2 linked regions of the Lonchura striata genome follow. The protein of the gene in region 2 purifies or fractionates together with the protein of the main gene of each other region. This does not show direct contact. Links are inferred from orthologs where the notes say so. Each region holds a gene or a part of one and is shown on either strand. Other genes may lie near its edges.

Region 1 (7,045 bases), on a different chromosome or scaffold from region 2:
TAGCAGTTTTAGTTTTCTGGGGACTTTTTTTAGGTTTGGTTTTTTTTTTTTTTTGTAAGGTTGGGAAGTTAAATTACATGTATAGGTGTAAAATTATTAGGTACAGGATACAGAGGTACTTTTATGAGGAGCTGAATATGCAACTTGGGTTATCATTGTAGTCACAGGGAAAAGATCAAGCTGTGTGTGACTTCAGCCATCCCTGGGGCCAGAGAAAGCAGTGGCATGTGGGGTGAAGGAAAAAACCCCCATGTTTTGCTCCTTGTTAGTCTGGCTAATGCAAGTGGCAAAACAGAGCTGTACCCTGTTGTCAGTTGTCCTGACAAACCTTTCTCTGCCCACTGGTCATTGCTCAGAGCGATCTGGGGGTGGTCCATCTATGCATTTTCCCTAACACAGGCCTGAGAGAACACCTCCACATTGGTCTTCATCTTTATTTTAAAGCAAAGCAGTTATGGTTTGTATAGTTGTAGCCTGTAACAGAACACAGAAAACTGTGTTTTTGCTTTCACTCTCAGGTGTCAGTTTAAGAAGTTTTATCAGAAATTTGTAGCCAATACATCATTCATGAGTTTTCTGTCTTAACTGTTGGCTGTTACTGGCACCTATTTAAGCATCACTGCTTTTTCAAATCCCCTGCAGTTATCCAGAGATAAATTCCCCAAACTTACAACTCAAAGCCAAGGTGCCTGCAAGCCACATTTGCTTCATTCATACTCCATTCATTAGCACATACAAAACTGTCATCCTTATGATTCACGGGTTTTACTCGAAGCAAACTTGAATCTCCATGATCCAGATCAACTGAAAATGTTTCTTAAAAAATAAAAAAGAAAGAAATTTTTAAAATCCCCAAACAAAATCATATTATATAGGTATTATTATAGATATTATATTGTATTGTATATATTATATAGATGTATCTAATGGAAAGACAGCATAAAAACAAATCAGGACTAATTTTGTATTTAAAGCCAAAGTTCATATGGAAAGAACATTAGATTGGGAATCAGAAGGTTCAGGTATTATTCCTGAATTAGTTCTGAGGGTTGACTTTGTGTCTTTGAGCCTGCTAATTTCTCAGAATATGACAGTTCAAGGACAAATGAGGGTAATGGGTCCATAAGAGTATTTGAAGATCTATCAAGAACATGTTGCATTTTAGTCTAATGACCTTCTTTAGGGGATTTTTGATAACCAACCAGTAATACTTGGAAGCGAGAGGGCCACATCCTACTTCTATTATCTGTGTTGCAAAATGCCTGCAGCAGTCTGTGTAGCAAAACCAGCAGCAGGGTGACCAGGGCCTGTCAATCACTTTATTTTTTATGAAAATCAGCAGATACTGCCCATTTTCAGTGACACTTCATTTTTTGTTTCATGTTATTACTAGTGTGAGAAAATGAACAGACTTTCTGTAAATAGGGCAAGCATCTCCTCAGCCACCCCTGATGGATAAATTTCGGAAAAGGAGGTGTGAATACCTTCAGGCTTGCATGTTCCCTTGTGCAGAAACTTTGCTTTGGGTTGCTGACACTCATAGCTCTTCAGCTGACAGTAAGTACGGAAGGTCTTGCCATTGGCAGAACAAACTGCAGAGCCATTCTTTGGGCACTGGTAGGGAAGCTTGCAGAGGCATTTTCCCTCCACACATCGTTCCCATGGGTGACAAAAAACTTTCCTACAGGACTTGTGGGTGTATTGGTTGCCCAAGCATTCTTCTATGAGGTAGTTGTCTTGGTCAGCTGGTTGGGCAGGTTTAACCTGTTGAAGGTGGTTTTCTGCAGCCTTAGATGCTGCATTCTGCAAGGCACACAAAAAATAATTTAAATAAAAGCAAGATTAGGGACTGCACCAAGAGTTTTGCATCCCTTCACTGACCTCAGCAAAGTGCCCATTTATAAGCCTTTTCCTGTGTAATCAATAGTTCTTAAATACCATTTATGGTGTTTGTTCCCTTGTCTTTTGCCAACTCAACCTTCTCAGTTTTTCTGAACTATTTTTTTCTTTTTGGATTATTTACCTGGTGTGATCTTCACTCTTACTGATCTGCCACAAACTTTATACTCTTTACTTTTCAAACATCAGCTGAAGTGCACAGCAGAGTAGAAACATTTTTAAAGGCATTGGTTTATAACACATCCCAGCAATTGGACTGCAAGCAGATTAAAGCATAAAGGAATTTAAGCCCCAGAGAAAGAGAATAGCAATTTGTTTGGTTTTTTCTCCTAAGATTTGTTTTATTGGCCTCGTTGACTTTAGATTTAAATATCATCTGTAAATATTTATGAACGACTTACTAGCAAATGACTGTATAATGATTTGTTTTGCAGAGCCCACGTGACTGTTCAAGTAAAAAGTACCTCAAGTATCTGAAAGCAATTTGAAAATCAAGTGCTCATCCTTATCAGCGTTTTTCTTGTCTTGCACAGCAGAAGGTTTGCAATGTGGATGCTTCCATCACTGGACTGCAGGTGCAGATTGTGCCCCTCCCTCTGATGCCCTCAGGGTGAGCAGCACCTTGTTTGTGCAGTCCTCTGCTGACTTCTGTGTGCTGCCTGAGTGCTTTTGCTTACTAAGGTCTGTGGGTAGGAAGAATCTTTGAACATGGAAAATATTTATGGATGGCCTCTGTGTAAAAATGGGAGAAAAACAGTCCTCAAATGTGATTTATCAGTTTTGGCTGTGTCAACTGGATCAATAGAGCTGAAGTTTAAAGTTCTCATGAAATCCTGCCCACAGTAAAGTCAGGGAGGATGTAGCTGGGGCAGAATTCAATATCTCTCCTTTTCATGGCTGTATAATCTCATTAAATCCTTCCTGCTGTTCTTGGGCCAGTAGAATCCAAACTGGGAACCAGATCCACCTTGGCACAACTCCCATATTGTGCGAGGTGTTCCTCCTCATGGGGAACAGGTGCTGATTTTTATCTCAGAACTTCTCTGAAAGGCTCAGATTGGCTTTCCTGGACAGTTCTGCCTGGAGAAAATCTGCAGGAAACCTGCTGGCAATAGGAGACTACCATGCTGCCATATTACAAGACTGCAATCCCATTTCTCAAAAAAGGGAGGTGGGGAAAATTGTAGCACCTTTCTGTGGTCAGCCATGCTTGCAAATTTGGCACAGGATCCTGATTAAAATCTTTTCCACAAACCTGTTAGCATAAGCCCCAGTAGAATCAAAACATTAAAGAGAAATAGCAAACTTCAAACACTCAGGCTGGGTTAAAACGAATGAAGCACAAATACCATGAAAGGAACTTTAAAAAAATAAATTGGTTTTGCTTTTGTAACAATAAACTGTTTATTAAACGTTTTAAAAAGTTATGCCAACACAATAAAACGTATCTTACCTCTGATCCACAAAGACAAAAGAGACACAAGAAAACCAAGCAAATTAGGAGCATTCGCATGATGAAACTTTATCTCCCTTCCTAGACAAATTCCTCTGGCTGTGATTCTTTTGAATGTCAGCTGTTAGATTTGGGTTTAATTTTTAACCATTAGAAAAATATTTTCAAGCGTGTTTAGAAATAAAGTACAGGAGCCTCAACTATTAACCGATAAATCTGATCTCTTCGAAAGATCATGCCTTAACTGGTTTTATCGCAAGTGGATGACGAGGTAACAAAAGCCAAGCCCTTGAAGTAAATGATTAAAGGGAAGCGCTTGTTGGGGTTGCACTTTTCTTTGCGCAGAGGAGTCCGATCGATCCATGGCGCCGGCCGCCCTGAGTGCAGGCGCTCCCGCCCGCCAGGTTACCCTGCAGGGCGAGTGCCGGCGCTCCCGCCCGCCAGGCTACCCTGCAGGGCGAGTGCAGGCGCTCCCGCCCGCCAGGTTACCCTGCAGGGCGAGTGCCGGCGCTCCCGCCCGCCAGGCTACCCTGCAGGGCGAGTGCAGGCGCTCCCGCCCGCCAGGCTACCCTGCAGGGCGAGTGTGCTCCCCACACGGCTCCGTGCCCAGCCCCTATCCCTGGCCCGCCGCTCCCTCGGGAGCGCGGGACAACTACCGGGCACGGGAGCCGCTTTGCGACAGCGCCCTTTCATTTACGGCAGCAGCCCCGTTTGCGGCAGCGCGCTGTTTCCGGCGGCGGCGCGCACGTGCAGGTACGTCCCGCGCGGGAGCCGCTGCCGTGTCCGTCTGTCTGTCCGTCCGTCCGTCATCCCCCAGGGAATGGCCCCGGCAGCCGCGGTCCCCCCGCCTGTGAGCTGATAAACAATCCCGAGGGCCCTGTGAGGCGCTGCGGGTGCGCGCCCGGGCAGTGCGGCCTCCCGAGGGAGCCTCCCGAGGTTTAACGGGGCCGAGAGGAAGGGCCGGGACCACCCCTGATGCCAGCACGGGCAGTGAGGGATGGACAGAGGGAGAGCAGCCCTGCCGAGAAGGACTTGGGGTGCTGGTGGTGACAGGACGGACATGGCCCAGCAATGGAGTCATGACTCACAGCCCAGGGAGCCAAACCTGTCCTGGGCTGCATCCAGAGCAGCGTGGGCAGCAGGGACAGGGAGGGGATTCTGCCCCTCTGCTCTGCTCTGCTCTGCAGAGACCCCACCTGCAGGGCTGCATCAGCTCCAGGGTGCCCAGCACAGAAGAGACGTGGAGTTCCAGAGGAGGCCCCGAGGGTGGTCACAGGCTGGAGCACTTCTCCTCTACCTTCTCTGCTTGGCCTGAGAGTGGGGATTCTTTAGCCTGGAGAACAGAAGGCTCTAGGAACATTTTACAGCAGCCTTCCAGTGCCTGAAGGAGGCTACAGCAGAGCTCGAGAGAGACTTTGTACAAGGGCACATAGGGATAGAGTAAGAGAAGATAGTTTTAAACTGAAAGAGGGTGGGTTGAGATGGGATATTAAGAAAAAATTCTATACTGTGAGAGTGGTGAGGCACTGGAACAGGTCACCTAGAGAAGCTGTGGGTGCCCCATCCCAGGGGGTGTTCAAGGCCAGGGTGGATGGGCCTCTGAGCAGCCTGTGGAATGTGTCACTGCACACAGCAGAGGGGTTGGAAGTAGGTGACCCTTAGGTTTTCTTCCAACCTGAACTATTCTGTGATTTTCTTACTTTGTGCCATTTATGGGGACTGTCATCAGCCCTTATACAGATGAGTGAAAAAAGTGCTGGTCACTGCTAGTCACTTTTTGCAGTTGGCTGTTGCAGTGGATGACATCTTAAGTATAAACTTGATTTTTCACTTGTGAGGACTGAAAACAACACACCATTAAATTAACAAACCAGGCTGACAGGACACTACAATTTGTACAGCAAATCAAATGTGACACGTCTTTTGTATCTTAAACGACTGATTTTTTTGTTCACAATGTAGGAAACAGTAGAGAATGTCTTTTCGTGGAAGAGGAGGTGGAGGAGGAAGAGGAGGTGGCTTCAGCCGTGGAGGAGGTGGTGGTGACAGAGGTGGCTTTAACCGTGGTGGTCGAGGTGGCTTTGGACGGGGAGGTGGAAGAGGAGGCTTCAACAGAGGAGGATATGACCAGGGCCCTCCAGAAAGGGTAGTTTGTAAGTTACATGGAGAAACTTTATTTATTTTATTTAGATTGTCTGCTTCAGCTCTTTAGCTTGTTTGTTCTTTATTTCAGTGTTGGGAGAGTTCATGCATCCCTGTGAAGATGACATAGTTTGTAAATGTAAAACAGAAGAAAACAAGGTGCCTTATTTCAATGCCCCAGTGTACCTGGATAATAAGGAGCAGATTGGCAAAGTGGATGAAATATTTGGACAGCTGAGAGACTTTGTATCCTTTAAAAAAATTGATTGGATATGAAATGGGATTTCTCTAGGATTTTAAAATAGTTCAGGGTTGTATGTGAGGCTTGCTGCAGCTGTAGGTGCTTCATTCACACTAAGTGCGTATCTTACAGCTTTTTTGATATGACTGAATACTTGAAGTCAACCAGAGATTTTCACTCTTTAGCAGTACTGATGATGTGTTTTGGATCCATGGTGGTTCAAGTTGTTACTTTTTCTGCCTAACTGACCAAATTTTCTGCTGTAGGTTACTAAGCCATAACAGAGTTGGATCAAGGGCCTTGCGGATTTTTGTACATTAGGGGACCTTGCTTATGCTCCAGCACATTATTTAATTACAAAGTGAGTTTATACTAAGATGACCTGTTGCTCATTTTCCATAAAAGTGGGATATACCAGGACATCTGCCCATAAAAGTGGGATGTGCCAGGACATCTCTGGCAAAGCCAGCCTGACACAGAGACATTGGGTGCATTCTGTTGTCACTGCCAGGTGGACAGAATCCATGACAAAAGCAGGATAGCTGGGGGAGTAACCTTGTAACACGTCAGTTAGGACTCAGCCTGTGTTGGTTGGTTGAGCACCAGTCACTAGCTATGTGCATTTTCCTCTCCCACATTAAATGTGAAGTAAAATGTGCAGGTTTAAATCACTTCTAATTGCAAATGTGATGAAATTTAGCTGAATTTATGAAATACTAACTTAGAAAATATCTGAATGTTCCTTTCATATACTGATCAAAATCACAGTTTTTAGTGTTTTATTACTGCAATGCTCCTTAAAGAAACCAACAGTATTTTTCAGTGAAACTGTCTGAGAACATGAAAGCCTCTTCATTTAAAAAAATGCAAAAGGTAAGTCAATCTCAATAACAAAATTTTACTGAATGTCATCAGTTAGCTAAGTCTAATTTGTCAGCAGATAATAAAAGCTTTATTAGGTATTTAATAACTTTAAAAGCAGCTTGTCCTATGTAAGCGTAGGAATTAAGTTCCTCATCCTTTCTAGTTTTGTGTTTGCCACATTATTCCTTCTCCCTGCCCCATGAGAAGAGATGCAATAAAATCACACAAATATCATCTATATTTTAGCAGCTTTTTAATTCTGGGGTTTACTTCTTGTGTGCTTTCTCTATTTGGCTTTTTGCAGAGAATAGTTTGACATAATGGGATAAGACCAAATTGTGGATATTTGTAAAGAGAGATATTAATGTGCTTCTTAGTCTTGGTGTTTTGAAAGCCTAATGGAATTCTCTTCCTGCAGTTTTACATTGATCCAGCAAAGCTGCTAC
Region 2 (6,847 bases):
TTCTACAGTAACTATCCTTCAGGAAAATAAAAAAGAAAATACAAGCAATTACTTAAAACCAACATTTCCTCCTACTGAGGAGGAAATCCTGTCACCCAGGACTGTGTGGGAGCAGCAAGCAACACTCCTTACCTTCGAACTTGGCGTTCACCATGACGTATAAATGCTCCCTTGGGTAGGCACTCGGGTCCCTGGAGACGGCGTGCAAACTTATAGTGGGGTAATCCAAGGAGAAGCCAACTCCGGAGTTTTCCAGCCAGGATAAGCGACTAATGAGGGAGGAAAAGAGGAATTTAGAAAGTTAGAAATTAACGGAGGACAGTATCTGATTCAAGCTTGCAGAAAAGCAAACCACCCCCAAAACATGAGTAATTGTGGACAAGGCACTTGGCCCACTCTGCAGGCATACACGGTCCTGGACCTGCCTGAACAGGTCTTTGCAACCGCATTAATTGATGGCTGAGGTAAAAGACACCTTTGCTGAAAGAATGTGAAGCTAAGAACTCTAAACCCATCACAACTTTATCTCATTTGCACTAAATGCTGAATTTTCCTCCCTGCGTCTCCATTTTCTTCTCCCTGCAGGTATCTAGCATTCCAAAGTCAACTACAGAGGTTCAGATGATTTGTAATTCAAGCTATTAAATGTGGTTTTCCAAAGAGGAAAACAAAGAACACCGAAAGGCAAGTCAGTGACATAATAATTCCTAGGGAATTATAGATCTGATGTGGGTATAGCCTGTAGACAGAAAACAGCCAGTTCTGTGATCAGCAGAGCCAGGTTATGGGTATTCCTCCAGTCACAATTTATGTGCTATAGCCTCTGCTTTCCCCATTTTTGCTGTCATCCCTAACCACAGCATGGGACAGCACAGGTTGTCACCCCCAGGATGCTGCCTCCTTCATATCAGAACAATCAACATCTTTCTACATACTGAGAAATCAAACTCAAACTAGATTTGGGTGCCTGTAATCAATGATGTCACACAGTGAACAGAAATACTCAGTGCCAGAAAGCAAGACCTCCACCATGTGCAAAACTCAGCATTCACAAGCTTTTGTGGTGGAACAAAACCAATGGAAAGCTCACAGAAGACTCCTGGTATTAGAAAATCTGGCTGAGAGCAAAAGCTAGTACAGTGGGAGCAAGGAGTTTATTTCCTAGCCTCAACTATCCAGTCCTCAATGTTTACAGCTGCTGGTGGAGAGTCACTACATGGATCAAGAGCCACATTATGCTCCTGGATACCCTGTTCTCCCATGGCACTTCTGCAAACACTGGTGTTTTCTGTTCATCCCAACAAGAGACTCTAGTGAAACCTCTGTGGTGCAACTGAAATACATGGAAACTAGCAGACCTGCAGTCGCCTCACACTAAAGTCTACTGAAAGCAACTTACAAGGAAACACAACATTATACATCCTCAGAGCAGATACCCCACAAACAGAAGTCCTGGTAGCTGTAACCAAACTAAATAAAACAGTGAACAAATATGCAGAGAGATTCCTCTCCAACACAGCATTAATAAGCTCTGATGGGGCAAAAGCTCCTCCAACAATAATGGCCATTTCATAAAAGTTTCCTAGTCTGAGGTTTTTAAAAGTGCACATTTTAAATTATGTTTTTGTTCCAACAATGCTCTTCAGTTACAGAATCTATTATGAGTACTTTTCCATGGTTAAAGAAAATTACATGGTTTTAATTATCAAGCTGTCCCCCTGAGCTATAAAATGCAGGGAGAACTGAAAGGAGACCATAAAGAGCTCAGATAACATCTTTCAGAATAACTAGACTAATTCCTGCCTGGTAAAAACAGTCTCCATGTGATTAATGCAACATGAAAGACTTCACAGAACCAGAGTAGTTCTTAAAAGCAGAAACCAACCAGCCCCGTCTACTCCCCTGTTAAAAGAGGAGAGTTGCCATGGTTTTAATTATAGAATGGTTTGGGTTGGAAAAGACCTGAAAGATCATCTAGTTCCAATCCATTACCTTGGGCAGGGACACCTTCCAGTACACCAGGATGCTCGGAGCCACAACCAACCTGGCCTTGAACACTTCCAAGAATGGGACATGCAATGTTTCTTTGGGCCACCTGTGCCAGGGTCTCACCCTGCTCACAGTAAGGAATTTTCTCCTAAAAACCAATCTAGCGCTCTTTTTCAGTCTGAAGCCATTCCTCCTTGTCCTGTCACTACAGTTCCTGTCAAAGAGCCCCTCTGTGCCCTCCCCGCGTGCCCATTCTGATACTGGGAGGTTGCCATGAGGTCCCCACACAACTTTCTCAGCCCGTCTTCACAGAAGAGGTGCTCCAGTCCCCTCATCAACTGTGTGGTGTCTGCTGGGCTTGCTCCAAGCTTTCCAGGTCCTTTTAGCTGGCGATTCCCGTGCTGGATAGAGCGCTCCAGGTGGAGTCTCACAAAAGCCGTGGGGCAGAATTCCCTCTCTTGCCCAGCTGCCACGCTGCTTTTGCTGTGGCCCAGGACACAACTGGCTTTCAGGGCTGCAAGTGCACATTTCTCCACCATGCTGAGTTTTACAAAACGGTTTGGTGGGGAGGAACCTTACAGCCCTGTCGTTCCAAGCCCCTGCCTTGGCCAGGGACACCTCCCACTAGACCAGGTCGCTCCAAGCCCCATCCAGCCCGGCCCTGGATGCCCCAGCCAGCGGGTACCGCTGCCTCTTGCCTGCTTTAAAGCGAGCGGAGCCGCGGGACGCCCCGCAGAGCCCCGCAGCCCCCGAGGCCTCCCCCACATCCCGGGGCCTCAGGGCCGGGGCAGCGCCCGAGGGCTCCCGGCCCGGTGTCCCCGCACCTCTCGGCGATGTACAGCGTGCCGGAGCCCAGGCTGCGCCCCGCCAGCAGCGCCTCCGTGTCCGGCTGCTGGTGGCGGACGCCGTCGGACGGCGGCGGGAAGCGCTTGAGGAAGCTCATGGCGCCGCCGCCGCCGCCCTGCTGCACCGCCGCGGCCGCCGGAAGCGGAACGCGCCGCTCCGTGATGCCGTTCCGCCCGGGCCGCCGCGGCTCCGCCCGGGACGCGATGGCTCCGCCCCGGGATGCCACGGCTCCGCCCCGGGATGTCACGGCTCCGCCCCGGGATGTCACGGCTCCGCCCGGGACGCCACGGCTCCGCCCGGGGCGCCGCGGCTCCGCCCCGGGATGTCACGGCTCCGCCCGGGACGCCACGGCTCCGCCCGGGACGCCACGGCTCCGCCCCGGGATGTCACGGCTCCGCCCGGGACGCGATGGCTCCGCCCGGGACGCCACGGCTCCGCCCGGGGCGCCGCGGCTCCGCCCCGGGATGTCACGGCTCCGCCCGGGACGCCACGGCTCCGCCCGGGACGCCACGGCTCCGCCCCGGGGCGCCGCGGCTCCGCCCGGGACGCGATGGCACCGCCCCGGGACGCCACGGCTCCGCCCGGGACGCCACGGCTCCGCCCCGGGACGCCATGGCACCGCCCCGGGACGCCACGGCTCCGCCCGGGATGTCACGGCTCCGCCCGGGATGCGATGGCACCGCCCCGGGATGTCACGGCTCCGCCCGGGACGCCACGGCTCCGCCCCGGGATGTCACGGCTCCGCCCCGGGATGCCGCGGCTCCGCCCCGGGATGCCACGGCTCCGCCCGGGACGCCACGGCTCCGCCCGGGACGCCACGGCTCCGCCCCGGGATGTCACGGCACCGCCCCGGGACGCCATGGCACCGCCCCGGGATGTCACGGCTCCGCCCCGGGATGTCACGGCTCCGCCCCGGGATGCCACGGCTCCGCCCGGGACGCCACGGCTCCGCCCGGGGCGCGATGGCACCGCCCCGGGACGCCATGGCACCGCCCCGGGATGTCACGGCTCCGCCCCGGGACGCCACAGCTCCGCCCCGGGATGCCATGGCACCGCCCCGGGATGTCACGGCTCCGCCCCGGGACGCCACGGCTCCGCCCGGGATGTCACGGCTCCGCCCGGGATGCGATGGCACCGCCCCGGGATGTCACGGCTCCGCCCGGGATGCGATGGCACCGCCCCGGGATGTCACGGCTCCGCCCGGGACGCCACGGCTCCGCCCCGGGATGTCACGGCTCCGCCCCGGGATGCCGCGGCTCCGCCCCGGGATGTCACGGCTCCGCCCCGGGATGTCACGGCTCCGCCCGGGATGTCACGGCTCCGCCCCGGGATGACACGGCTCCGCCCGGGATGTCACGGCTCCGCCCCGGGATGACACGGCTCCGCTCCCGTTCCGCGGGGCCCGGTGCGGCCGCGGCTCGGGGTGCCGCGGGCGGGTCCGAGTGAGGTCGTCTTTGAGTGGAAAAGAGGAGCCAAGGGCAGCGCTGAGGTGACCGCTGAGGGCTGGAGCGCCTCTGCTGTGGAGACAGGCTGAGAGATGTTCTCCGAAGAGGAGGCTCCAGGGAGACCGTACAGCTCCTTCCAGGACCTAAAGGGGATACAAGAAAGCTGGAGAGGGACTTTGGACAAGGGGAAAGAGATTCAAATTGACAGAGGGCGGAGTGAGATTAGATACTGTGAAGGAATTCTTCCCTGTGAGGGTGGTGAGGCACTGGCACAGGTTGCCCAGAGAAGGTGTGGCTGCCCCATCCCTGGAAGTGTTCAAGGACAGGTTGGATGGGGCTCTGAGCAATCTGATCTAGTGGAAGCTGTCCCTGCCCACAGCAGGGGGTTTGGAACAAGATGGTTGAAACATGTCTTTAATGTCCCTTCCAACCCAAAACGTTCAGATTCTATAATCGACAGCACCAAGAGCAGTCACAGAACCATTGAGTATCCTGAATTGGAAGGGACCCACATTGATCATCCAGTCCATCTGCCAGCCCTGCACAGGACACCACAACAATCACACCTTGTGCTTGAGAGCTTTTTCCAAATGCTTCTTGATCTCTGCCATACCTATTTTAACCTGTAAGTCTCATTGCCCAGGTGACAGAGGGAAAGATAACAATAACAAAGAAATACAGCAGATTCACAATTACCATTGTTGGATGCTGGAAGGGGAAATTCTGGTGGGTGACCACCACCTAACGTCTCATATATGCACATGGAGAAGAAAAAGAAAATCACAAGTACCTGAATTGCTTAAAGGGTATCCAGTTGATTTTCTCAGCAGTGATGAATTGGGGTCAGCACCTGACACTACTGCAGGACCTGGCGAGCGGGCGGTGTTGCAGGACAGCACATTTCAGGGATGGGAAGGCTGCCACCCCTTCATGAGCACTGGTCCTGCTTCTTCCCTGGATTTACCCCATTTCTCTTGCTACTGCAGTGAGAAACAGCGATTACTGATGCATCAGTGAAGTACATCTCTGCCAGGGGATGCTTCTGCTAATGCCATCAGTGAGACAGCATCAATGCAAACATCCATTCTCTCTACTTGTCAGGATGGCAAATGCTCCTGCCATAGCAACATATCAAAAGCAAGTTGTTAGCTTGTCATGGGAGTTAACCTTCCCTTTAATCAGTTTAAAATTTACTTTTTAGGAGTAATTTAGCTACCTGTGTGCAAACGCAGGTTCTCACAAACATGAGCCAATTAATGAGACTAGGTCTCCATCTTTCCTTTCTCTGGACTTTCCTATCTATGGTCTTGGATAGCAAAGACCAGAACATAACATGGTTCTCTTAGTCTGAGGTATTGACAATGTTTTGGAAAGCTGGCCAACCATGCCTACCCATTTTGGATTTTAATTACACAAATAATAACGCAAATAATTGTTACTCATACAAATAATTACCTAGACCAAAATGAAAGCAAATTTCACAGTGAAGTGATATGTAAGCACTGCTGGAATAGCTTGAAAAAACCAACAGAGGCAACAGGAGATGAGAAAAGGGGAAGTTATCAATAATTTTCAAGTTTGCCACACCAAGACAAGTGGTCAACTGGAAACAAAAATTTGCAGTTCATCCAAGAACACAGATCAGACTATGGCAGCTGGTGGGAAGAGATCCAAATACATGGAAATACCATTCACTGCACTTAGGGGCTATAAAGCAATGCTCCTGTTGATGTTCAGCCCCTCTTACCTAATGTGGTTGTCATATCAGCCACAGAGAGTTCTCACCACCTTTGTAGTTAACTCCAAAGTAAAGAACAACTTTAGGTTGTTATAAATTAAAATTTCTGAGTGGTTGGGGTTGGATTACTGCTGGTTGAAGTTGCTGCAGTGGAGTAATACGGAGTTTATTTCTCTTCCTGCATGCAAATGCAAGTCTTCTGTGACACACCACTCTTCCAAAAAAGTGGGGAAAGGGATAGTTTAAGCCCAGGCAGAAAACTGGTTTTGAGGATGAGGCATTAAAAGAGGAGGAGAAACCCACATCTTCCTTATTTACACAATCCAGACACTTCACACCAGAGTACTGAGTGCTGCACCTACGAGAAGCTTAGAGAGGGAAGGCAGATGTTTCCTCTAAGTTAGAATGGAACAGAATGGCATTACCTGAAAACCCTCCTTCGGCTCTAAGAGCTTTAAGAAATGAATTCGGATCCAGCCCCAGTGCTGTCTGAACACTGGGTGTCCAACAGTGATTTAGTTAACCAGGGCTGTGTTCGGAGGCAATGGAGAGCAGCAGGTACCTTGTCACCTTAGCACAGAAGGCAGGAGCCACCATCCAGAGGAGCTTGTTTCTCTCCACAGCACTGCCTGCCATAAGGTGGCCAGTTCAGACTTAGATGCCCAGAATCTGTTAAAAATGGAAGTGTAAAGTTTTGGCAGTGGATTTGGAGCAAAAGGATGAATTTCACAACAATTTCTCATCACACAAAAACACACAGCAGCTTGACTGTAGCCACAGATACATTCAAAATAAAGACTGACAGGCTTCAGCAATTCACACAGAAAAG

The links. Proteins that work in one complex are often made in the same cells at the same time.
Region 1: the proteins of CLNS1A (region 2) and GAR1 purify together in Homo sapiens (affinity purification with mass spectrometry; 3 studies listed by BioGRID and IntAct, counting the BioPlex papers as one, with this or other methods). This does not show direct contact. The link is inferred for Lonchura striata from reciprocal best matches to the Homo sapiens genes CLNS1A and GAR1.

Annotation. Positions count from the first base shown.
Region 1 is NC_134606.1:46,155,152-46,162,196, reverse strand, and holds the start of GAR1 (H/ACA ribonucleoprotein complex subunit 1), read left to right. Parts: upstream 1-4,028; 5' UTR 4,029-4,105; intron 4,106-4,115; exon of another isoform or gene 4,116-4,202; intron 4,203-5,314; 5' UTR 5,315-5,327; coding exon 5,328-5,505; intron 5,506-5,585; coding exon 5,586-5,740; intron 5,741-6,548; coding exon 6,549-6,608; intron 6,609-7,017; coding exon 7,018-7,045. Other genes in the region: CFI (complement factor I), read right to left, coding at 672-816, 1,485-1,803, 3,353-3,412. UniProt on the Homo sapiens protein: Required for ribosome biogenesis and telomere maintenance. Part of the H/ACA small nucleolar ribonucleoprotein (H/ACA snoRNP) complex, which catalyzes pseudouridylation of rRNA.
Region 2 is NC_134604.1:32,435,838-32,442,684, forward strand, and holds the start of CLNS1A (methylosome subunit pICln), read right to left. Parts: upstream 3,016-6,847; 5' UTR 2,933-3,015; coding exon 2,814-2,932; intron 270-2,813; coding exon 133-269; intron 1-132. UniProt on the Homo sapiens protein: Involved in both the assembly of spliceosomal snRNPs and the methylation of Sm proteins.